2 linked regions of the Caenorhabditis elegans genome follow. The protein of the gene in region 1 purifies or fractionates together with the protein of each later gene. This does not show direct contact. Each region holds a gene or a part of one and is shown in the gene's direction. Other genes may lie near its edges.

What was found.
Region 2: the proteins of tbce-1 (region 1) and tbcb-1 fractionate together in Caenorhabditis elegans (co-fractionation; one large-scale study listed by BioGRID). This does not show direct contact.

What each region holds. Positions count from the first base shown.
Region 1 is NC_003282.8:8,292,608-8,297,876, forward strand, and holds tbce-1 (Tubulin-specific chaperone E), read left to right. Parts: upstream 1-2,082; coding exon 2,083-2,249; intron 2,250-2,512; coding exon 2,513-2,996; intron 2,997-3,078; coding exon 3,079-3,490; intron 3,491-3,540; coding exon 3,541-3,794; intron 3,795-4,423; coding exon 4,424-4,588; 3' UTR 4,589-4,676; downstream 4,677-5,269. Other genes in the region: K07H8.2 (SLC41A/MgtE integral membrane domain-containing protein), read left to right, coding at 158-272, 324-500, 554-1,438, 1,492-1,674; nprl-3 (GATOR complex protein NPRL3), read left to right, coding at 4,886-4,929, 5,020-5,099, 5,144-5,219.
Region 2 is NC_003283.11:13,590,212-13,593,765, forward strand, and holds tbcb-1 (Tubulin-specific chaperone B), read left to right. Parts: upstream 1-1,912; 5' UTR 1,913-1,921; coding exon 1,922-2,017; intron 2,018-2,078; coding exon 2,079-2,423; intron 2,424-2,467; coding exon 2,468-2,622; intron 2,623-2,673; coding exon 2,674-2,767; 3' UTR 2,768-2,972; downstream 2,973-3,554. Other genes in the region: F53F4.18 (DUF4342 domain-containing protein), read left to right, coding at 13-183, 434-536; F53F4.4 (DUF19 domain-containing protein), read left to right, coding at 3,216-3,264. UniProt on the Caenorhabditis elegans protein: Binds to alpha-tubulin folding intermediates after their interaction with cytosolic chaperonin in the pathway leading from newly synthesized tubulin to properly folded heterodimer.

The sequences.
Region 1 (5,269 bases):
TTTCGAGGTCATTCATACTTTGGTTTCTCATTTTTCTTTCCAGTTGAGTTGAAAGTCGTAGTTTTGATTCCGAACTTAAAATTTTCCTCATTTCTTTTACATTATGTAATTTTTTTTTGCAAAATTATATTCCAAACAGTATATTAATCCGATCCAGTTTTCGTTTCAGGAACGAAAATTCTTCACTAAAATCGAGGACGTACGACCATTCAAACGATCTTGTGAACATGTCGGTGATTCCTGCCGAATCGAGTTATGTACTCTTTTTCCAAGTAAGTTTTTCAGGTATTTTACAAAAGAAATTATGAACTTGCTGTTTTCAGGTTCTCTTTCCGTTTGCCGTCGCTGGTCTTGGAATGGTATTTGCTGGATTGGTTCTCTCAATAGTAGTCACATGGCCTTTGTTCGAAGAAATCCCTGAAATTCTGATTCTAGTTCCAGCACTGCTTGGGCTTAAAGGAAATCTGGAAATGACACTAGCCAGTCGACTCTCAACACTTGTGAGTTTACACTTGAGAATATTCAATTTTATAATTTTCTATCAATTTTTCAGGCTAACCTTGGTCATATGGATTCTTCAAAACAACGAAAAGATGTAGTCATCGCCAACTTGGCACTTGTGCAAGTTCAGGCTACTGTCGTCGCTTTCCTCGCTTCTGCTTTTGCCGCTGCTCTCGCTTTCATTCCTTCTGGGGATTTCGATTGGGCTCATGGTGCATTGATGTGTGCAAGCAGCCTAGCTACAGCATGTAGTGCATCCCTCGTACTATCACTGTTAATGGTGGTTGTCATTGTGACATCTCGAAAATACAACATCAATCCCGATAATGTGGCCACACCAATTGCTGCATCACTTGGAGATCTGACGACACTCACTGTACTGGCTTTCTTCGGATCCGTGTTCCTCAAAGCTCATAATACTGAATCTTGGCTCAATGTTATCGTGATTGTATTATTCCTTCTTCTCCTTCCTTTCTGGATAAAAATTGCCAACGAGAATGAAGGAACACAGGAGACTCTCTACAATGGATGGACACCAGTCATCATGTCAATGCTTATCAGTAGTGCTGGAGGATTTATATTAGAAACCGCAGTCCGAAGATATCATAGCTTGAGTACATACGGTCCAGTATTGAATGGTGTTGGAGGGAATTTGGCTGCTGTTCAAGCCAGCAGACTCTCTACTTATTTCCATAAAGCCGGCACAGTTGGAGTTCTTCCGAATGAATGGACTGTCAGTCGATTTACCAGTGTTCAGCGTGCATTCTTCTCAAAAGAATGGGATTCTCGATCGGCTCGAGTTCTTTTGTTACTCGTTGTTCCTGGTCATATTTGCTTCAATTTCCTTATCCAGTTATTCACTTTGACTTCAAAGAATAATGTGACACCCCATGGACCACTTTTCACCAGTCTTTATATGATTGCGGCAATCATTCAGGTAAGGTTTTATCGAAAATTTAAAATATATAATCAAAATTTCAAAAATTGCAGGTTGTCATACTTCTATTCGTTTGTCAACTTCTCGTCGCTCTTCTTTGGAAATGGAAAATTGACCCAGATAATTCTGTGATTCCATATCTTACAGCTCTTGGAGATCTCCTAGGAACCGGACTCCTATTCATAGTATTCCTCACTACTGACCATTTTGATCCAAAGGAACTCACTTCGTCATAATTTTAAAACGTTCAAACTTTTACCACATTGTATAACTGCATCCCCGTTATTATAGATTGGTTCTCATCCCCCATCTGCATGTAAAACAGTATTTCGCTAACCTAATTTTTCATTTTCACAACTAACGCACTTTCATCAGAACTCTAGTCAAACCCGATGAGTTGATTGATATCCATTTGCCGTCAAGCGCATAATTTTCTGTACATTGTGATCCATTTTTCTCTCTAGCTATTTTTGGTCATATCTAATAGACATTTTGCATTTTCCGCTAGTCACTATGTATTTTTTGGGAATAAATAAGTTAATTTGAACTTTTAAATTTAATTAATTTTTATCTCTGGACATCTTATTCCGCGAGTGGTCCAATAATTTTGACAAGATGGGCCAAGAAAAAAAACAATTTTCCAGATGGAAATAGGACAACGAGTTCGAATAAATTTCGAAGTAGCAACAGTTCGATATATTGGAGAAGTCGATGGATACGGTAGTCAACGATGGGTTGGATTGGAGTGGGATGATCCGACACGTGGAAAACATGATGGAATTGTGAGAGGAAAACGATACTTTCAGACGAGGTTAACAGACATTTTCATCAGAAATATATTCTATAGACATTTCTCATTCGAAACTGTCGGAAATGAATTCCAAATTGGGACAAAAAATGGAAGTGATCTCCGCTGTACACATTTTCATAGTTTTATGGCGGTCTCCATGAACTTTTAAATATACAGTGTCGGGGGATTATTTACCGTATTTAACACTCCAATTACTTTCCCTTAAAAATTCGTCACTAAATAATACAAACTAGTCACAAAAGTGTGAACTTTCAAATTTTCAGACATCCAAATGGAGGATCATTGATGAAGCATGAAATAGTACCGAAACCAACTGATCTATTGTTTGAAATCAAAGACAGATACATCGAGGAAGAGAGCGTCGAAACTGAAATTGAATTGGCGCAATCCAATAAGAAGATCGAGTTGATCGGAATGGATCAAACGGCTGCAAAACAAAGCAATATCGAGAAACTTATAAATATTGTTCTTGATAATCGATCAGTCGGCTTCCCACCTTCCTCGGATTCTCCCCAATTTATACTTTGTCGTGAACTTAATCTTTATGGAAATCTACTGTACAAATGGAAAACAGTTCGTCAGATTCTTGAATATTTTCCTAGAATTCAAGAACTCAACTTACGAAGGAATCGCATGCAATGCTTCAATGAAGAAGAAGATGATGATGAATCAGAAGGAGATGATCATGTTTATTCGGATAGTTGTAAGAAATTGGTCATTAGTGAATGCAATTTATCTGAGAATTCGGTAGGTTAAAGATTAAAGGTTAAAGGAATACCAATGAAATATTAAAAAAAAAGTGTCTAGAATTGCTATTTTTATTTTTCAGATCGACTCGATTCTTCTCCGGTTCCCCTCTACATCAGATGTCGTGGCGTTTGGTAATGATCTCACAAGATTCTCAGTTTCTGAAGCTGTTTCATCTCGTCTTACATCCCTCGATCTCGAAGATAATCCATTCAAAACACTAGATTCCATTCACGGAACTTTTCCGAATTTGACACAACTTTCTGTGGCGAATTGTGGAATTACGAGCTTAAACGGATTCGATGGTTCGATAAAATTCCCGAAACTCGAATATCTGAACATAAAAAGAAATTCAATTGTTGAATGGAAAAGTGTAAATTCCATTAGATCTCTTAAAAGTTTGAAACGGTTATTGTTCGATTGCAAAAAATTATCAACTGAAAAGGGTGTCCATGCCTATGAGATTGTAATTGCCAAGTTGAGCACTTTAATAGGTTGGTTTCAAAAATATTAAAAATTATTTAAAGTAGATGTTTTTTTCTAGATCTCAATAGGTTTGATGTGTCAGAAGTAGAACGAAGGTCTGCAGAAATTCGATTTCTGAACAAATATGCCGGTCTAAATGATAACGAAGATCATCAAGACGATATCAAAAGACTGATTGAAATTCATGGAGAACCGACACTTGATACAGCAAAAAAGGGCCTTGCGGTGGTGAAAATTAGAATTGAATGTGGAAATCGAGTGGAGACACGAAGGCTTCCATTGGGAATGAGCATACAGAAAATTAGAGATATGGTAGGCAAATGAACAATCATTATTATTTGAATCAAGAAGACATGCATGTACTTTTGAAAATGCAAAGAATTTAATTTAAAAATGTATTATCTTGATTCGATTATTTTGGGGACGCAGAAACGCGCTCCACTTCCAATTGAAAACGTAACGAGCAATGGGTCTCGCTAGGTATTTGACAGAAAACTGTAAAATCAAACGTTTCTAGTTTGTTTTGCCGATTTCGCTAATTTTAAAGATTTTTTGTTATGTTTTCCGTTGTTTCCAAAGATTTTTATGCCGAAAGTAATGAAATAAAAATTTGAGACAAAATAGAAAAAATCATTAGCATTTCATTTTTAAACATCTCTTCGACATAAAAATCATTAAAGAATGAAAAACGAACCAAAAAAAGACGAAAAATGTTTAAAAATAGGCGAAATCAGTAAAACTAATTGAAACATTTTAATTTACGGTTTTGTCGCCTAATACCTAACGAGACCCATAGTTTGTGGGCGGAGCATTTAAAATTAACCGTTGAGCGTGTTTTCAGATCAATGTCTAAAGTGTTTTTTTCTGCGTCCCCATATAGAGGCTAGTTTCATCAAAAAATAGAGGCTAAATACTTCCATCAAAAATTTTATTTTTTCCAGCTCGCTCGTCTCTTCAAAGTCCCCAATACATCGAAAATCCGTCTATACCTCGTTATGAGTGAAAAAGCCAAACAACACCGAATTGAACTAGAAAATCCGTTAAGAGAATTTGGACACTATTCACCTTCAGAAGATCGAGATATTCTTGTTGTGGAACATGATTGAATTGTTACCGGAAGATTATTTATTGCACAACTTATTGTTTGTTACAAAATATATGAGCTTTAACTTGCATAAAATTCCTTAATTTCTTATCAGCGAAAATGTCCGTTAAAAATACTATCCGTTATGTATCGATTTCAATACTATTTACAATTATTCCGATTATGGAATAAAATCAATCAGTGAAAATTTCACTTTTGAAAATTTCGTCATATGCATGGGTCTCGCAACTATTGTTGGTTTTTTTTGTACTGTGATCTACTATTGCATACCAGAAAATCTTTTTTGAATTTTTGAAGAATGTCAGCGAAAGAAGTGGATTTCGAGAGAGAAAGTCATCTTCAGTGAGTTTTTAAATTACTGAAAATCAATAGTTATTTGTGATCTTGTTGAATAAAGTTCAATTTATCATAAAAATAATTTTGAATTTTCAGTGCTGTGATGTGTTTTCTCACTGGACAAAGCGGCGAAAAGATTGTATCTATTTATCCACATCGAAAACCAGCTACCAAAGGTAATCTGAACAATATAAAATCTCAAAAAAAAAAACATTTTCAGCTCCATCGAAAGATCCACAACCTTCCAGCTCTAATCCAGGACAATGTGTGAAGCCAGTTCTTACAAGTGTCAAAGAGTTCGTTTAAATCCGAATATTTAAATTTAAATATTCAAACGTTCAAAATT
Region 2 (3,554 bases), on another chromosome or scaffold:
GTAGATTTGAAGACAAGGACATGTAAATCAAGATGATTTGCTAACTGAGAGAGCAGACAATCTTCTCAATGAAAATATCAATCCGGAACATACAACAATTGGAGATACCAAAGGGAAGAAGGAAGAAAAGAAAACTCCAAATACAATTAGAGTTAGAAGAACAATGGTGATTACGGATCATGGGTAAGTTAGGAAAGTTTAATTAAAATTGAAGACTTATCATTAAATTCATATTGAATTGGAACGAAACCTTCAAGGTACATGATGTAATAAACACTACCGTAACCCTGAAAGGTACATACTCTTTTTCGCAGTTTACAAAGTGAAAATTTGCGACCGTTTCGAGACCGAGTTCCGAATTTTTTAATGAATAGTGCCACATTGAATATTTAATTTGGAAGTCGTATTTTGCAGATTAACTGTAAAATTTCAGAGCTGTTCTTCACGTGTTCTTCCCAATCATTGCATTCGGTGCTTCTCTTCTTCTGTTCATCCAAGTCCTCATTGCTATTGCAGCCGTCTACTATGGCTCTTAATGAACTTATGACATATTTAAATGTATCAATAAATCAATTTAGTTTTGTTCTTATCAGCAAATTGTGTTCTCTGCGAGTAGACATATCCATGTACTGTAGGGCTGTGCGGCTGATGACTCGGCTGATGGAGATAATCAAGTTTTTCAACGTGTTAGCACTGATCAATTAAAGAATATTTGTATTTGCAGTATTGGCTGAGTCATGAGCTTCTTATTCTAGAAAAAAGTTTTTTTAAAGTGCACACACCTTGACAAAACAGTCGGCTTTTTGAATCAGCCGAGTAACTCGGCTGTCGGCTGTCGGCTGATTGGAAAAACGAGTTTTTCTGGAAGGGGTGTTCACTTTTTTAAAAACTTTTTTCTAGAATTAGAAGCTCAAGACTCAGCCGATATGGCAAATACAAGTATTCCCTAATTGATCATTGCTAATACGTTGAAAAACGTTGATTTGCTCGTTCAGCCGAGTCATCAGCCGCACAGCCCTAATGTACTGTTCGAATATAATCCGATTGATCACACTTCACGTTTTGTTCCTTTAGTTTAACATGTTTTTGCAAATCTAGTTTTGATCGAAAAGTTGTGGCTTCATTAAAAATAGGTATTCAAAGTATTCCCAAAAAGTTATCCACTCTCTCATGCATTCAAGTATTTTTCACATTTTGTAAGGAACACTTCAAATATTGCTGATTATTGAGTCAGTGTTATAAAGTTGCAAAAATTGATACGAATCTTGATTGTTTCACTTTATATTTTTCTCCCTGATATTTTTTTGAGAAATGTGACATCCTCTCACAAGAATTGTATCACAATTAGACTCTCTGGATTTTTACTGATTTCCAGAAAATTGATGAAGTATCATGAAATTGTTTTACTGAATTCTCACATATGCTTCGTATTTCTAGACCTGCATTTTTTTCAAATAAAATGAAAGGGTGGTAAGCGCGCTCCGTTGCACAGCCTGTGTACTCCTCTCGGCCAAGTCAGATGCATTTATTTTTTATTAATTCTTGTCTAATTTCTTAGTTTCCTAAAGACTTCAATGATATTTTTACTGTTATTTTTATAGTAAAACCTTTCAGATTTCTCGATAAAAAATTCGATTGCAATAAGTAGTCTTCAGCTGCCGTTTCGCTAGCTCATCCAATTTAATTCCGAATTTCGCAATGAATTGACTGAATTTACATGCTCTCTTACAATTTGAAACCATTGGAAGCAGGTGTTGCCTATTTATCGTTTTAATTGCACCGCCCGTCTTTCTTGCTCTTCCGGAACACATTTACAATGCATGACCGCTCATTCTTCTTGAAGCTATTCTTAAGCTCTCTCAGAACATTCTCCTTGGAAACGACCCTTTTTTCACAAATTTTCTTCTTGCAGAACTGAAAAATGACAGAAGTTTACGACCTTGAAATCACTACAAATGCAACAGATTTTCCGATGGAAAAGAAATATCCGGCTGGCATGTCGTTGAATGATTTGAAAGTAAGTATATTGTAAAAATAATGTTTTCTTTAAAAATACTATTTAATCGAAAACTTTTCAGAAGAAACTCGAACTTGTAGTTGGAACTACGGTCGATTCAATGCGCATTCAATTGTTTGATGGAGATGATCAACTGAAAGGAGAGCTGACAGACGGGGCTAAAAGTTTGAAAGATTTGGGTGTTCGCGACGGTTACCGAATTCACGCCGTTGATGTGACTGGTGGAAACGAAGATTTCAAGGACGAAAGTATGGTTGAAAAATATGAAATGAGTGATGACACATATGGAAAGAGAACAGACAGCGTTCGTGCATGGAAGAAAAAGATGCAAGAAGAACAAGGTAGTGCTGCTCCAATGGAAAATGAAAGCGATAAATTGAATGAAGAAGCCGCGAAAAATATAATGGTAAGAGCGCTGTTCCAAAAAGGAAAAATGAATTTAATTTAAAGGTTGGAAACCGATGCGAAGTTACTGTTGGAGCACAAATGGCCCGGAGAGGAGAAGTCGCATACGTAGGAGCTACAAAGTTTAAGGAAGGTGTTTGGGTTGGAGTTAAATACGATGAGCCAGTTGGAAAGAATGATGGATCCGTTGCTGGTGTCAGGTAACTCAGCCATAATTTTGAATAATTTTTATCCGAACACTTTCATTTCAGATATTTCGATTGTGATCCCAAATACGGAGGATTTGTTCGACCAGTCGATGTGAAAGTTGGTGATTTCCCAGAGCTCTCAATTGATGAAATCTAAGTAACATTGCCAAATATTTATTGCTCCCTGCTTCTGCCTTCTCTCATTCATTATATAACTATGAATACATACTTTCATAACAATTTTTCATGATTATACCCGCTTTCACTTTGCATTTTCCCATTTTCTTCCGAGATATTGTTTCTATCGGCGATCTCTTTGCGCTTCTATCTATTTTGTATGTGATAAGTAAACGATATGTGACACCCGACTAGTAATCGACAACATGATTCGTTCGCATCCGCTCTTACTCTCTCTCTCAACAAGTCAGGGGAACACAGTCGAGTGATGTGACCAGAGGGGTGGAGGACATGAAGCTTAGAAGTTGTTGAGGGAACGAAGAAACTGGTATACAAAACGGGCGGTCCTCTTAGGGTCTCGAGAGGAAACAAGGATCACTTTCCGTTTTTGGGGGAAAGCGCACAATAAGCTAACAACAGAAATTATCATGCTGATTTTATTTTTTTTTATTTTTCTCAATGTGTTAGCCGCAGAAGGTAAGCTATCGTTTTTGAAATTTTGGAAGCTCAACCGGCGAGGGAATCTTTTTTGTAAATCTTTTTATTAAAAAATGCATTAAGAGTCAATTCGCACTGTAAAAATCACAATTGTTAAAACAAACAATTACGGGACCCGGTCTCGACACGACCCAAGCTTTTTAAATGAAAAACTACAGTAATCCGTGAAATACAGTACTCCTAGCTTTTCGCAAATTTCGTCGATTTTTTAAGGTTTTTTTTTCGGAAAACTGTCATTTATGTCATTTATGAAAAAAACTAATTAACGC